Danio rerio: one gene and its partners. The protein of the gene in region 2 interacts with the protein of the main gene of each other region in a biochemical or structural test. Links are inferred from orthologs where the notes say so. Each region holds a gene or a part of one and is shown on either strand. Other genes may lie near its edges. The genes, in order: ikbkb, map3k7, usp4 and tab1.

Region 1 (4,924 bases), on a different chromosome or scaffold from region 2:
TATTTTATTATATTTTTAGATGTAATATTTTTTTATTTTAGAATTATTATTATTTAACTAGTGTAATTATATTTTTCTTTAGTTTTCTTTTAATTAAAATGTATTAAGTAACTATACGCAATTAATTACAATGTTATAAATTATTTAGAATGTTATTGTTTTGGTTAACTCTAAAAAACAAAAACAAAAAAAAAATAGTTGTTTTTAACTCAATGCTGGGTCAAATATGGATCGACTCAACCACTGGGTAAATTTATGAAACATTTTTTAACCCAATAGTTGGTTTTGTGCATATTTTACACAATGATTTTTAGAATGTATGAAGACAAATGATATCTCTGTAAGCTCTTGTATAAAAATGAATGTTTAATTAGGACAAAAAAATATTATTCCTATTACAATTAGTACAATTAATATATTTTTTATTAATATTAATATTTTTTTATGATTTTAGAATCATTATTTTAAAAATATTGCAATTATTGTTGTGTCTAGTTTTTTTTAATTAAAATGTATTTAGTAGCTATGCGTAATTAATTAGAATGTTATTAATTAATTAGAGTGTTATTGTATTGGTCCCACCAAAAAACAAATGTATTGTTTTAACCCAATGCTGGGTCAAAATGGACAAACCCAACCACTAGGTTATTTTTTTCAACTAAATGAAAAATTAAAAAAAATTAACCCAACAGTTGAATTTGTCCATATTTGACCCAACGTTTTTAAAATGTATGAAGACATTATATCTCTGGAAGCTCTCGTCTAAAAAATAATGTTTGATTAGGTCAATAAAATTATTATTATTATTACTATTAGTACAATGAATATTATTGTATTATATTATTTTTTATTATTGTTTTAGAATTATTGTATTATTTAAATATTGCAATTATTGTTTTCTTTAGTTTATTTTAATTAAAATATATTCAGTAACCATTATAATGTTAATAATCAAAACTTAAATTATTGTATTATTTAAATATTGCAATTATTGTTTTCTTTAGTTTATTTTAATTAAAATATATTCAGTAACCATTATAATGTTAATAATCAAAACTTAAATTATTGTATTATTTAAATATTGTAATTATTGTTTTCTTTAGTTTATTTTAATTAAAATATATTCGGTAACCATTATAATGTTAATAATCAATACTTATCTATATTATAATAATTATAATGTTATTGCGTTGGTCCCCCAAAAAACAAATGGGTTGTTTTAACCTGATACTGGGTCAAATATGGACAAACCCAACCAATGGGTTAATCTCTTAAATTAAATTAAATTAAATATTTTAACCCAACAGTTAGATTTGTCTATATTTGACCCAAGGTATAAGGACAAATTATATATCTTGAAGCTCTTGTCTGAAAAATAACGAACTACAATGTTTTATTAGAACAATAAAAGTATTATTGCTATTAATATTTTTACTTTTAGTATAATTATTATTATTTACTTTTATTTTCTGGATTTTATAATTAGTATTATTATTAAAACTATAATTATAAATTATATATAATATAATTATTTAACCTATAATTGTTTTCTTTAGTTTGTTAAATTAAAATGCATTTAGTAACTACATGATTAATTAGAACGCTGTTGTATTGGTGCACTGAATGAGTTTCAACCCAATGCTGGGTTAAATATAGACAAAAATGGAAAGGTCTCATTTAAATTGAATTGATAAAATCAATCCATTACCACTTCTGTCTATAAATGACCAAACATGTTAAGACAACCCAGCATTTATAGAATGTTTATTATTATGTATCTGGTTCTATTATGAGTGTATTTAAAGAGTATTTAGATGTACAAATGACAAAATAAGAGCCCGCATCGTCGTTCAGATGACTAAAGACTGATTTAAAATAACAAACACTTTTAAAACAGTGATAAATATGTGTATTATGCAGCTTTGATAAATGAATGGCTTTTTTATGACCTGTGCATTTTTTGTACACAAAATCGGGACAAATTTACATACAGCTGCTGAATTACAATACTTATTAAAATAGGATCATTCTTGTTTACAAAATATTATGTTGTAATTATTAGTATTTAGTAACTACGTAATTGATTAAAAATGTAGTGTATTCATTCACTTTTTCTTTGAACAAAAATCTATTAGTTTAAAGTTTCATACAGCTGTTAAATGTTGAATACAATAGTTATTATTAAAAATTATAATGATTGTTTTCTTTAGTTAATAGATTCATTGTTATTAGTACCTATGTAATTAAGTAAAATGTTATTGTATTGAATATATTATGCATTTGGTTTCTATTCTGGGTGTATGTGGATATAAATGACAAAATAAGAGTCACACAATAAGAGTTTATAGATTAATAATTATTATTATTTAGTAACTGTGTTATATTGTTATAGTTTAGTAACTGTAATTAATTAGAATGTTATTGTATTAGCTATATTATGTATTTGGGTCTATTTTAAGTGTACTTAGATATACAAATTATACAATTAAGATTACATACTCATTTGGACAACTTAAAAGCTGCGATTTTATTAAATATTATTTAACTTTGATGAATGAATCACTTTCGTTTTTAATAACCGGCTCGTGTTTGATATTTGTACACACAATCTGATTATCTTAAAGCTTCATACAGCTGCTGAATTACAAAATAACTCTACCTAAGTAAGTAAAGTAACGTTACATATGTTTAAGATTGTTTATGTGCGATAACACTCTTCGTGTTTACTGGAACTCATCGTGTCGTGAATGTGAAGTGATTTTACCTGCTGCTGTAAGACTGGATCTGACCTCCAAAATACACTTTTCTCCGTCTCACAGCTGATTATTCCCGCGACTTTTACACATTTAACGGATTTGTTCGGTAAATCAGACTGTAAAGAGGTTTGTGATTGTGTTTGAAAGCAGAAGAGCGTTGAGTTTCTCTACTTCCTGAAACTTTCCCCCGTAAGTACCGTAGAAGCGCAGACTCAAAAACAGACTTCCGTATTTTCAATAGCCTACTGTACTGTACATACTGCATACTAAAAATACTTCACGAAGAATTTTACATTTATTATTACCGAGATTAAAGATACTACAGTAATTATATAATAAATATTATGTTTTTTATTTGAATTAACCTGTTGGGGTAGTTGCTATGGTAACACAACTACTATATTTGGCTAATGTAAACAACTGTACTGGGTAAACATACGTCATGAAATATACAGCATTTATTATTAACTACATGAAAGATACGCAGTAGTTATAAATATAATGTTTTTGAACCGTAAAGTACTTCAATAAATATGTTGTAGTAACTCTGTAGTTAATATCATAACACAATAACTATGGTAGGCTAATATAAACAACTGTACTAGCTTTCTACTGTACTGTATACAAGACTGTACTGTACTGAAGAATTATAGGACATGTATCCTTACCTACACGAAGAATATTAGCTACTACTGTAATTATATAGTAAATCTTATGTTTTTTAACTGTACAGTAGTTGAATAAGTCTGTTGTTGCAACTATACTTACTAGTAACACACAACAACAATAGTAGGGTAAACAACTACTAGTTTTCTTCTGTACTGTATGCTATATGCTATATACAGCATTACCTACGTGAAAGATACTACAGTTATTATAGTAGGCTAATATAAACAACTAGGCTTAACATACTTCACAAAGAATTATACGGCAATTATTATACCCACATGAAAAATACAACAGTAATTATAAATATGTTTTTAACCGTAACGTACTTGAATAAATCTGTTGCGGTAACTCTGTAGTTACTATGGTAACACAACAACTATAGTAGGCTAATATAAACCACTGTACTAGTTTTCTTCTGTATTGTATACAACACTACTGTACTGTAGGTTAAGCATACTGAAGAATTATACAGGATTTATTATTACGTACATGAAGAATACTTCTGTAATTATACAGTCACAGTGAATATAATTTTAAACCGTAAAGTAGCCTACTTTAATTTGTTGTGGTAACTATGAAGTTGCTATAGTAACACGACAACAATAGTATGCTAATATAAACAACTGTACTGTAGGCATACTTTATGAAGAATTATACCACATTTATTATTACCTACATAAAAGATACTACAGTAATTATATAGTAAATATTATGTTTTTGATTTGAATTAATCTGTTGTGGTAACTCTAGTTGCTATGGTAACACACAACCACTATAGTTAGCTAATATAAACAACTGTACTGTAGGCTTAACGTACTTCAAAAGAATTATACAGCATTTATTATTACCCACAAGAAAAATACTACAGTAATTATAAATATAATTTTAACCGTAACATACTTGAATAAATCTGTTGCGGTAACTCTGTAATTACCATGGTAACACAACAACTATAGTAGGCTAATATAAACAACTGTACTAGTTTTCTACCTTTCCGTATAAGACATTACTGTATGCTAAACATACTCAACGAAGAATTATAAAGCGTTAAGTATTGCCTACATTTATAGTAATTACATAGTAAATACTATGTTATTGAACCAAGAACTTAATTAAATTTTTTTGTGGTAACTAGTTGCTATGTTAAAATACAATTATAGTAGGCCAATATAAACAACTTTACTAGTTTTCTACTGTATTGTGTAAAACACTACTGTATAAGAATACTCGAGTTATCATTACATGAAAAATATTTCTGTGGTAAATATTATGTTTTTAAACCGTAAAGTAGCTTAATTTAATTTGTTGTGATAACTGTGAAGTTGCTATAGTAACACGACAACAATAGTAGGCTAATATAATTTACAACCACGTTTATTATTGAATACATGAAAGATACTACAGTAGTTATATAGTAAATATTATGTTTTTGATTTGAATTAATCTGTTGTCGCAACTCTAGTTGCTATGGTAACACACAACAACTATAGTTGGCTATT
Region 2 (4,176 bases):
CTTTAAATGCATCATGCACATGCATATATAAATGAATGCTGCAATAGACACCTGACTTTTCATTTAATAAACACTTTATTCGTGAGACACACTCTGCCAATATTAAGTTTTTAAGTAATTTTAGGTTATATGTTTACATACAACTTGCAGAAAAAGGATAAAATGTGTATTTCAAATTGCATGATGCATTTAGCAGGCCTAAATAAGTTTTTTGCATCAGGTGTTTACACACAAATTAAGCAGTTTAAAAGTTTATGAACATTGAATGTTCCTTTGAAATGACTTTTGGTGCAATAAATAATCCTGAATAATTAAAAGTGTTTAAAATAGTCTTTAAATGTATTTTGTAACTATGAAATTTAAATACTAAAAAAAGCCCCTGCTTATGCAATACTAGAACCATGTCTATATAACCATGGAAATATACGTACACACAATAACACTAAATTTGTATATTTGTAAAATAAAGAAAATAAACAAGATGAGCTTTCTCTCATGCAGTCTCTGTGAAATCTTGATGAAAAGAAATGTCTGCAGCGTCTGCAATCTTTATATTTTCATCCACTGACTGAGAATAATGCTGCACTATTTTAATAACAAATTATTAAAATGTTTTCTTTTCCTCCAACAGACTCTTAATCATTACTTTAACTGGTGTGAGATTTTTGAGCGCTGAATAGGCTATAAGCGCCTAATATATAAATATTTTTCTTTCTTTCTTTTTTATTTATTTATTTTATTTAGGCACCGACACACCCGTGGCTACGCCCCTGTTAAAAAGGAATTATAAGTTTGGTCCTATCCTATCATCAGTATGATCATCAGTATTTATTGACATTAAAATAAGATTTAAAAAAACAAACTTGAAACAAAATTGATAATGAGAATAAAAATATATTGTTTTAGCAACCTATAGAAATAACACTCGTCGTAGATGTCACAGGATGACTGATCGAGAAGGAACATATAGTCTGGCACATTTGCTACCCACGACAAGTCAAGATTTTATCAAGAAAAGAAATTGCATGATCTGACATAGTGACTTTGTAAACGTCAATAAAAATCGTGTGATCAGACTGGGGCTTAAGACTATTTTTGCCAAAGTACTGCCAAATTCATTTGTAAAGTGAGTTCCATGTGTGTGTTTTTTTCCCTCTGGGAGATCTCTTTATTTATTTGTTTATGTCTGTTTTTCCTTCTACTAGTCTGCTCCTGGTTGCTGGAGGTACTGTCCTGAAGATCTGTGACTTCGGGACAGCGTGTGACATCCAGACTCACATGACTAACAATAAGGGAAGTGCTGCCTGGATGGCCCCAGAAGTGTTCGAAGGCAAGTTTTGAATACTTTCCTTTCCATAAGCATTTTTCATGCTTGTACTGTCATTGGCTTTGCCTTGGAGACATTGTTTTTGTTTGTCCCAGATGATTTTGAGGTCAAAAATGATTTCCTGTTAACCTTTTCACCCCCTTTCTTCCTGTATTTCTCATTAATTGACTTCACACAGGCCTCTTTAGTCTTCGCTATCACTCATACAAATATTTCCCTAAAACCAGAATTAGTGGATGTTCCTGGTCTAGATGATGGATGAAAGCATTATAATTTAATGCATGCGTCCGCAATCAACCGGTAATGGGTTTCAATTTTAGCAAACACGTTCAGGGGCATTTTACTGTCAGGGGGGTCGGAGGAAACATCAATTAGGAGCAGGTTGTTATCTTGTTTGTTTGGGGAGGAGCAGAAATCCCATGTTATTACTCCACTAGTGCTGACAGCAGAGGAGACGAAGCTCTCCTTATTTGCTGCACTGACAACAGTATTATCAGAAGACCAGAGCAAGGCAGCGTAAAGACATACCAGCGCAAGTCGCTGTAATTTAAGAATAATAAGAGCAGCAATTAAGGCTCTCCAGGGCAGCATGAGAGGAAATTAGCTCATCTGTTCAAAAAGGGCAGACAAGATAAAGGCTTTCCCACCCTGGACGGCAGAAAAGGAGCTTATGGGAAATAGCTTTGCTGCTTTGTTGTGTGATACCCTTTGATTGCATATTATTATTTTGGGCAGCTCGACATCAACAAAATATCTTCAAAATGATTCTAGTTTGTCTGCATTAAACATCTGCAATTATTTTAATAGCATGTGTCATATAAAGGGCATTTGATGGTTTGTCCACCACACTAGTTATGCACCTATATTAAAGGTGCTGTTTGTAATGTTTTTAATTTTTTTAAGCATAACATCATATGTTTGCAGATATTTAAGAAACATGCTAAGTAAAAATTCTTGTATATTTGAAAAACAATGCTAAAGTTATATATTCTGCTTTGAGAATGCAAGTTATGTGCCAAAAGGCTGTCTGTTTTAGTTCTTTTAACTCGCCCACTGCTAGTTTAGCCAATTATATTTCAGCACCTCAGGTTGCCTTGTTGGAAAACAGCGTATTTCATTCATTTATTAATTCAGAAAGGCTCTCAAGGCATGCGCCTATGACTGAAATGCGACCACCTGTGGTCAGTAGCAGACTCCGAAATGAGACACAGATTCAGAGATCCACATTAGGTTAATAATTAGCAAATCATTTAAACATATTATGAATGTAAACATTAGGTGAGCAGGTTACATTTTAACCCTATTTCTTAACAGCACGTTACGTGGCGAGATACGCAGTAGTAAGCAATGTGGCTGTTTGCACCAGACGAAACAAGACAGAAATTTAAACAGCCATTCAGAAGCACAGAATATGCACTCACTCACAGAATGGTAAGGTTTATAATCTAATCAATACATATTAAATAATACCACCATTATTTAGTGTAAAGGCTAAAGTCACAGTTTTGAAGTTCAATTTCAAACGGTTTATTTTATTTTCTAGATATGAGGTGATCTAGATCTATCTGCTCCTGCTTTCAATAGTATGCCAATAGATGTCATGAATGACATTCAAACTTACATTATTAGCATTTAACACTGAATAAAGCACATGAGGTGTACCTGAGGTGATCATTTTCAGTTTTTTGTTGTTCAGCTGCAAGAAAAAGAAGCTGTTTCTCAAATATTAATTTGATTTGTTGGTTGGAACAAAAACTCCTTTTAATATGAAAATATTCCTTCTATTGCGTGCCTTTGCTTTTATATAGAACACAGTTTGAATCCGCCTTTAGGCTTAATTGTCTTGTAATTGACTTGCTCCTAGTCTTGAATCTGGCAACCTGCGCTTGCATTTGTTTTGATCCAGAAATGCAATTCCTAGTTCAACCACCTTTAATCTGCATATTAAGTGTGATGTCACGCAAAGCGGCTTCTGGGTCCAAGTGCTCAATCAAACTGTATGGGGAGACGACTGTAATACTTTTGAAAATCACGGTGTATATATATATATATATATATATATATATATATATATATATATATATATATATATATATATATATATATATATATATATATATATATATATATATCCATGCCTTATTTCCGATGGCTAGAAAGTTAAGCCAGGGACTGTTGTGTACACTATGATTTTATATAAAATTCCCTTTTATGTGGGATATGACTAAAAATTTATCATGAATGAATATTTTCTCTATTCAAATGAATGGCAACTTGGACCCGTAAACAGTATACCATTCGTCATGACTTAACAAGCGGATAGATAATTTATTTATTTTTTTTGTTAATGCTGTGTATCTTGTCTGGGTTTTTTTTACATTATTTTTTAAATTGCAGTTAAATTCATATCAAAAACTAGAATTTGAAGGTGCAGATTTAAGATGCGTTTAGAATGTCATGCTATCACTATCAATTAATATGTGGGGTCAGTAAGTGTTTCTGCTTTTATTTGATCAAAATATTGTAAAGAATATGCTTTAAATGCTTTGCTGTTTGAGGATTGGTTTATTCAGTTTGAGTTTGATTTAAAGGCAAAATTCTTTCTGGAAAATATAAGAAGCTCAACATTCTTTTACCAGTCCTGATTAAAACACAAACCAACAGCGTTTGGCACTTATGCTGCTAAGAGCATTAACTAAAGCTGCTGCTCTTCATCTGATTTTCTATTGTTGTCTTTCTCTGTTAATTGTAATTAGTTTATAAGTTATCCTAGAAATCTAGTTTATTCTCTAGTTAATGATTGAAAGATCAAAAAACAGCATGTATACTCCTGACAACACTCTTATCTT
Region 3 (4,176 bases), on a different chromosome or scaffold from region 2:
ACTTCTTTTGGAAACCCATTGTGTCAACTACCCAACTAGAGAAATAACCACTACGGTTATTTGGTAATCTTTTTTTTATGGATGTGTTATTTGGAGCTTTAAAACCTCAGGCACCAATCAAAGCCACACAACAGTTATAGAGCAAGGATAGGAGAGTTCAATATACTGTTCAATATAACTCCTATTGTGTTCAACAGATAAAGAAACCCAGCAATATCTAGCATAAGATAAATAAAATTATTCCTTTAAAAGGACAGATTCAACATTTTCCAGGAAACTATTACATGACTTGTGATATTAAGCTAGTTTAAATAAACATGATTAACAGGTTTAAAATATACGGACACAAATTATAATTCTAGATCTATATAAAAATATTTATCCATCTATCCATCTTCATAATAGTATAAAAAAATATTGTATAAATAATAATGATGATAATAATAACAAAACAATCAGATGTTTTGCAAAAGATGTACCTAATTGGAAAGTCCACAACAGTGTCGAGCTTGTCTCTCCAGCAGCGGTTGTAGGAGAAGCGCTTCAGATGCACAACCAAAATGCGTGGAAGAGACCACAGATCAAACTTCTTAGTGGCCTGCTGGTGTTTCTTACACGTGGGGCAGTACCTGAAGAGGTGCACAGCAAACAAAAACCCTATTAAAACAGCACTAACGTTGCAATGCTCTGCTAAAACAGTTGACCTTAAAAATATAAGTATTAACGGTGACATGCAATAACCTGAACATGCTCCTCACCATGGATCATGCTCTCCTAAAGTCTCCATTGTAGTAAAGAGCTCAATGCATTCCCGTAAAGCTACTGTAGTCTTCTTCTTTTGAGCATGAAGCATACTCTCGTGTTTGTCATAGGCCTAGGAAGAGATTTTACATTAATGTCTAATGGCTGAAAATTAAATGCTCCATTTTGAAAATGTTCAAAAAATGTACAGTAAAACACTTGTACAGTAAAGACACACTCAGCTGATCAAAAGTCACAACATTTATGCAACAAGATCATGTTGTAAAAAATTTATATTTGAAACCTTTACAAATGAGTAAAACAAATTAAGCAGCATGACTATTTTTAACATCGCTGACAATAAGAAATGTTTATTGAGCAGCAAATCAGCATGTCAGAATGATTTCTACCACTGATGACTGGAGTAATAGCAGCTTTTTCCATCACAGAAATAATCTACATTATAATAAACAAAAAATTATGACAAGTACCTCAGCTTCCTGATCATCATAGCACAATCTTTTTGTGTCCGAGTCCCAATCAATGGCTACTGTTGAGTGAGCTGTAGAAAGAAACGGCTGTTCTTAATGCAAGATCTTACTTATTTTTTGTTACTATTTTAAAACGTCAAATGGTTATAGTTACTTGTTAGCTTCAGTAGATTGCCATCAAATGGAAGAGAACTGATGTTGGCTGTGCCGTAGGAGTTGACCATGCTGAAAGAAAAGAGTTTTGGCCGAGAATTAAAAGATTTTCCTCCGCTACTATTTGGCCCATTCTCTGGTTCAGAATCCTCCTCTCCGTCCACAGTGTCCGAATGGCTGTTTTCTGGCTCTGGACTCTCCTGGTGGTCCATAGCTTCCTCATCTCCTAAAACAAACATTAAACAATAGTAGATCTGTACTAGACATTGGACGATAACAGTGTTCAATGTATACGGCAGTTTGGAAAATTCGAGGTTTTAAAACCGCCAAAATTTTCTGCTATACTGTTACTAAGGTAAGTATAAGACTTTTAATTACTTTTTTTTTTTTTTTTTAAGTTTTTAGGACAACAGTATGTCTAGCAGTAAAGATATCCAAAGATTGTGTTTTAAATTATACAGAAATCTGTTTTTGAAACCAATGATGACAGCAAAATGATTGATTCAATTATTTATTTGAATTATTTAACCTGACATCCAAGCAGGCGCACAAAATCACATGACGTTAATATTAGGTTAGATGTAGGTCGTGATGTCAGGTGACCAAAATGCAATATCTAGCTAGCGTCTAAGGACAACGGTTATTTGACGTCCAATAATGACACAAATGATGTTGCTATTTAATTGATTTTAGTATGTGTTGGAAAGTGACTAAAATCCTACATTGAGCCAACATCTTAAACCAACGTCATGTTGACGTCAAATAATGACATTTATTCATCAGGTATGGCAACCAAAATCCAAAGTCTGATATATAGTTAAAGTGTAACATCATTAGACATTGATATTTGGTTGATTTTACATCAACTTGATTTTCAAATCTAAACAAAATGCAACATCGCCTTAACATTGGGGTCCAATATCAATCTGACATTATGTTGACATCCTGTGCTCGCTGGGATGATTACTGTTCCAAAATATTTTAAATGTTTCTCAAAATAAAATATATTATGCTTAATTTTTTACCCAGACATTTAAAAATAATATATTTTAGAGTAGTAATCAATACAGTGAAACTGCAATATTTTTATCTAAGGTCATCATACCATCAGAATCTAATACTGCTAATCTGTACTATGATGAATGTCAGTAAATGTACAATTTCTCAATATTTACACACATAAGACAATACTCTGATTAAGAATGCATTAAACTGAGATTTGAGCATCTTTAACCAGCTTCATAAGTGAAGTAAACACAAATTAAATTCCTATTTGAGTCTCCTTACTGATGAACAGTTTAGACATGCATTTTTTTTCCACAGCATTTTGTGATTGGATTCACACACAGCAGCGGTCAACAGTTTCACATAAAAACAACAACAAAGGTCGAGCAAGAATTTGTATCTGCCTTTGTCTGTTTTCACATATAGCATGACAAATAATTTACTTCACTTGAAGCTTTCATAAAATTACACCCCAAACAGTATATCACACCATAATGATTTAAATGTGAAATTCTGGAGGAAACCGTAGCATTAGGATGTAACGATGTGTGCAACGAACCATTCTACAAACTAAATACATACAACAAGAAAGAGGGAAAACATGGAAGTCAATGGTTACAGGTTTACAGCTTTCTTCAAAAGATCTTGTTTTAGTGCATCTTCATTTAATGAAAAAATGAAACTCAAAGGTTTGAAACATGTAAAAAAAAAATAATAATAAATAAAATTATGACAATTTTGACACTATTTCTTTAAATTTCTTTAAATTTTAGATTACCGATTACTTGATTGAATTTGTTTACATGGACATCAGTAATTACCTTAATCTAAATAAGGCAACAATATGATTAAGATGTTTATACGAGTTGCTTTTAGAATGGTCCTTCTATGTTCACATTATACATGTTATATTAAATAGATACACAGCATTAGAAATAAGTCAAAATAAAGAATTTTTTCTTAAAACAAGCTAAATTATCTGCTTGTAGGGTATTTTTCTATATTATTTTTATATTTAATAAATATTTTTTATTTTTAATTTATATTTATATTCTAATTATTTTTGTTTAGCATAAATCACATGAATTCCATATAAATAAAGTGATTAAATACAATTCTGTTCAACTATCATTCAGACTTAATTATATCTTTGCGATGTGACTATTGCGGATGTACACATTGCAATATCGATGCTAAAACAATATATTTAGCTTGCTAGTATGAAGCAAGGAATGACAGAAATTTGATACCGTTCACCAAATGGAAAGAAACTTCAGCATTTTAATCAGAGTATTATCTCAAACAAATTAAAATCAGAGTTCTGGCATCCATGTAAACATACTAAACGACAGCATTTGGGAGCTTTATGAAAGTCAGACTATCCTACCATCACAAACTCCATTAGGGCCGTTGCAGGTTCCAGAATGGTTGCTGCCGTTGGATCCAGCGCTGCAGGAAGCTCCATCTGAAACTGGGCTGCTGCAGCCACTCAGGCCTGTGCCGTGACTGGACACTGAAGCGAGGCATTCTGGTGATTGGCTGCTGCTAGAAGATGTGGCTGAAGCAGATGCTCTACTCTCTGTAATGGTACCTTGTGAACGTTTAACGTATCGCCTAAAATAAAAATAAAAGTCTGGTTTAATTGCCAGGATTAAAATAATACTCTAGAACAGGGGTCACCAATCCTGGTCCAGGAGGGCCGGTGTCTCTGCAGGGTTTAGCTCCATCTTGCCTCAGCACACCTGCCTGGATGTTTCAAGTATACCTAGTAAGACCTTGATTAGCT
Region 4 (3,953 bases), on a different chromosome or scaffold from region 2:
ACACACACACACTCAGAAACACAGACATTTACAAACACAGTTACAACCACAACCACGATCACACACGCACACACACACACACATTTACAAACGCACACTCACAAACAGAGTTACACCACACACACATACTCAAATACAAACACAGTTACAATCGCACACACCCTAACAAACACACATTTCGAACACACACTTACAAACACAGTTACAACCACAAACACACACACACACACACACACATTTACAAACACACACTCACAAACACAGTTACAACCACACACACACTCATTAACAAACACACACTTACAAACACAGTTACAACCACAACCACACACACAAACACACACACACACACACACAAACACACACACACACACACATTTACAAACACACACTCACAAACACAGTTACAACCACAAACACACACACACACACACATTTACAAAGACACCTTCACCAACACAGTTACAACCACACACACTCATTAACAAACACACATTTACAAACACACACTCACAAACACAGTTAAAACCACACACACACTCATTAACAAACACACACTTACAAACACAGTTACAACCACAACCACACACACAAACACACACACACACACACACACAAACACACACACACACACATTTACAAACACACACTCACAAACACAGTTACAACCACACACACTCCCAAACATACATTTGCAAACAAACAAACACACTCACACACACATACTCACAAACACACGTTTACAAATAAACACACACACACTCACAAACAGTTACAAACACTCACACATTCAATAGTGTGTGTGTGTGTGTGTGTGTGTGTGTAGGGTGCGTATGTGTCCGCTCAGACACAGAAGATAGCAGACCGTCTGAAGACTTTAGAGCAGGAGGTTTCAGGAGGAGCAACAGCGATAGTGGCGCTCATCCTCAACAACAAACTCTACATCGCTAACGTAGGTATGTACACACACACACACACACATTTTAACATACATACTTTTACACACATGCATACATGCTCTTACACATACACACATTCTGTCATTCACACACTAACATACACACACACAAATACACACATAGTTTTACACACAAACAAATAAACTGTTTATTCACACTACACACACACACTCTTACACATGCACTCCTACACACACATTCTAACATACACACATGCATACATACATACACACACTATTCACACACTCTAACATACACACACAAACAAACACACACAAATACAATCAGTTTGAAACACACTTACACACAGAAAATAAACACACACTCTTACACACACACACACACACACACACACGCACACTACAGTTGTTGATGTGTGTAAGCGTCTACTGAATGTGTAACTGTAATGTTCTGTGTGTGTGTGTGTGTGTGTGTGTGTGTGTGTGTGTGTGTGTGTGTGTGTGTGTGTGTTCAGGCACTAATCGAGCTCTCCTGTGCAAAACCACCAGTGATGGTCAGAATCAGGTGATCCAGATCGGCCGAGCACACACCACTGATAATGAAGACGAGCTGACCAGACTCGCACAGCTGGGTGAACACACACCACACAGCACAACACACACAGAGTCAACACAACATAACACAACTCATTCATTAGTCTGCAAGTAACAGCGTGGGCAGAAATATGACGAGTGTATGTGTGTGCGTGCGATCTCAGTGATGTTTGTGTGTAAATGTGTGTGTGTGTGTGTGTGTTCTGCGCAGGTCTGGATCCGGTGCGCTTGAGACAGACAGCAGTGATCTCAGGTCAGAGCAGCACTCGCCGCATCGGAGATTATAAAGTCAAGTTCAACTACACAGACATCGACGTGCTCAGGTGTGTGTTCATCTGTCAGTAATCACACACACACACACACATTAAAGAGATGTATTGTTTATAATCACACTGTGATTGACATTCTCCCTTTGCACGTGTCATCAGAGGGGGAAAGCCCCGCCCACTAGTGCCCATCTCTCCCTCATTAGCATAAACAGTAGCCCTGAGTGAGCACAGGGGCGGAGAGGAGGAGGGGTTAATATTTGTTTTTATTAAAGCAGCAACCAACCGAACATGTGTTTAACTAATGTTCACAGTGCAGCAAAGCATAAGCCAATCATCGCAGAGCCTGAGATCCACGGCGGCCAATCACTGGCAGGCGTGACGGGCTTCTTGCTGCTGATGTCAGAGGGGCTCATCAAAGCCCTGGAGGCGGCACACGGACCGGAGCAGGTCAACCAGGTAGATCAATAACCAATCATCAGCTCAAGATGCTGCACAAACACAGAGGGTGCGTCTCAATCAGCGCTCTTGTTCACTAGTCAGTGCACTGAATAAGGCGTCAGCTGTCTCAATTGCAAAACTCCTCCAGTGCACTGAAACATTCGCAGGCTAAAGAGTACCACAGTGCATGTGAAAATAAGGGCGGATGGATACACACTACATGCACCCTAACAGACATTGGGAAGTGTGAATATTATTAATGTGACCCAAATCATCAAACGGAACGACAATATATGTATAAAGAATACATTATTTATTTACTATTAGCATGAACCCACATAGCTAGATAGGTTAGCAAACATTCTATATTCCCTGAGGGGGTGTGGTGCCTGTTCATATTCCAAGTGGGTGTGGCCTAAAATATCTGTCTATTGATTCCTCAAGTGGGTGTAGCCTAAATTATCTGCGTCTATTGATCTCCTGGGTGGGCGTGGCATAAGGGCACTGTTTCTATTTATTCCCAAGTGGGTTTGACCTAAATGCTTTCTGTTTCTTGATTTCCTGAGTGGGCGTGTCCTAAATGCATGGTTTCCATTTATTCCTTAGTGGGTGTGTCCTAAATGCTTTCTATCTCTAGTAATTCCCTGAGTGGGAGTGTCCTAAATGTAAATGTTCTATTTATTCCCAAGTGGGTGTGGCCTAAATGCTTTCTGTCTCTATTGATTCCCTCAGTGGGCGTGTCCTAAATGCAATTTTTTTATCCCGAGTGGGTGTGTTCTAAATACATGGTTTCTATTTATTCTCAAGTGGGTGTGGCCTAAATGCTTTTTGTCTCTATTGATTCCCTGAGTGGGCGTGTCTTAAATGCACATTTTTTATTCCCAAATGGGCGTGACCTAAATTCTTTTTCTCTATTAATTCCCTGAGTGGGCGTGTCCTAATTGCACAGTTTCTATTTATTCCCAAGTGGGCGTGGCCTGATTGCTTTATCTCTTTTGATTACCTCAGTGGGTGTGTCCTAAATGTAAATGTTCTATTTATTCCCAAGTGGGTGTGGCCTAAATGCTTTCTGTCTCTATTTCCTGAGTGGGCGTGTCCTTAAAGCACATTTTCTGTTGATTCCCAAGTGGGTGTGGCCTAAATGCTTTCTGTCACTAAAGATTCCCCAGAGGGGGCATGGCCTAAATGCTTTGTCACTAATGATTTCTGAGAGGGTGTGGCCTAAATTATTTATATCTCTATTGATTCCCTAAGTGGGCGTGTCCTAAATGCACAGTTTCTATTTATTCCTTCGTGGGTGTGGCCTAAATGCTTTCTATCTCTATTAATTCCCTGAGTGGGAGTGTCCTAAATGTAAATGTTCTATTTATTTCTCAGTGGGCGTGTCCTAAATGCAATTTTTTAATCCCCTGAGTGGGTGTGTCCTAAATGCACAGTTTCCATTTATTCCCAAGTGGGTGTGGCCTGATTGCTTTATCTCTTTTGATTTCTTCAGTTGGCGTGTCCTAAATATAAATGTTCTATTTATTCCCAAGTGGGTGTGGCCTAAATGCTTTTAGTCTCTATTGATTCCCTGAGTGGGCGTGTCCTAAATGCACATTTTTTATTCCCAAGTGGGTGTGGCCTAAATGCTTTCTGTCTCTATTGATTTCCTGAGTGGGCGTGTCCTAAATGCACATGTTCTGTTGATTCCCAAGTGGGTGTGGCCTAAATGCTTTTAGTCTCTATTGATT

Evidence for each region.
Region 1: of the proteins of map3k7 (region 2) and ikbkb, one has a biochemical effect on the other in vitro, tested with the Homo sapiens proteins (5 studies listed by BioGRID). The link is inferred for Danio rerio from reciprocal best matches to the Homo sapiens genes MAP3K7 and IKBKB.
Region 3: of the proteins of map3k7 (region 2) and usp4, one has a biochemical effect on the other in vitro, tested with the Homo sapiens proteins (2 studies listed by BioGRID). The link is inferred for Danio rerio from reciprocal best matches to the Homo sapiens genes MAP3K7 and USP4.
Region 4: of the proteins of map3k7 (region 2) and tab1, one has a biochemical effect on the other in vitro, tested with the Homo sapiens proteins (4 studies listed by BioGRID and IntAct). The link is inferred for Danio rerio from reciprocal best matches to the Homo sapiens genes MAP3K7 and TAB1.

Annotation. Positions count from the first base shown.
Region 1 is NC_133183.1:3,546,551-3,551,474, reverse strand, and holds the start of ikbkb (inhibitor of nuclear factor kappa-B kinase subunit beta), read right to left. Parts: upstream 2,937-4,924; 5' UTR 2,765-2,936; intron 1-2,764.
Region 2 is NC_133195.1:26,789,570-26,793,745, reverse strand, and holds part of map3k7 (mitogen-activated protein kinase kinase kinase 7), read left to right. Parts: intron 1-1,205; coding exon 1,206-1,330; intron 1,331-4,176. UniProt on the Homo sapiens protein: Serine/threonine kinase which acts as an essential component of the MAP kinase signal transduction pathway. Plays an important role in the cascades of cellular responses evoked by changes in the environment.
Region 3 is NC_133181.1:44,901,279-44,905,454, forward strand, and holds part of usp4 (ubiquitin carboxyl-terminal hydrolase 4), read right to left. Parts: intron 4,005-4,176; coding exon 3,778-4,004; intron 1,612-3,777; coding exon 1,387-1,611; intron 1,304-1,386; coding exon 1,233-1,303; intron 875-1,232; coding exon 759-874; intron 630-758; coding exon 480-629; intron 1-479.
Region 4 is NC_133181.1:477,829-481,781, reverse strand, and holds part of tab1 (TGF-beta-activated kinase 1 and MAP3K7-binding protein 1), read left to right. Parts: intron 1-826; coding exon 827-956; intron 957-1,434; coding exon 1,435-1,551; intron 1,552-1,724; coding exon 1,725-1,836; intron 1,837-2,093; coding exon 2,094-2,238; intron 2,239-3,953. UniProt on the Homo sapiens protein: Key adapter protein that plays an essential role in JNK and NF-kappa-B activation and proinflammatory cytokines production in response to stimulation with TLRs and cytokines.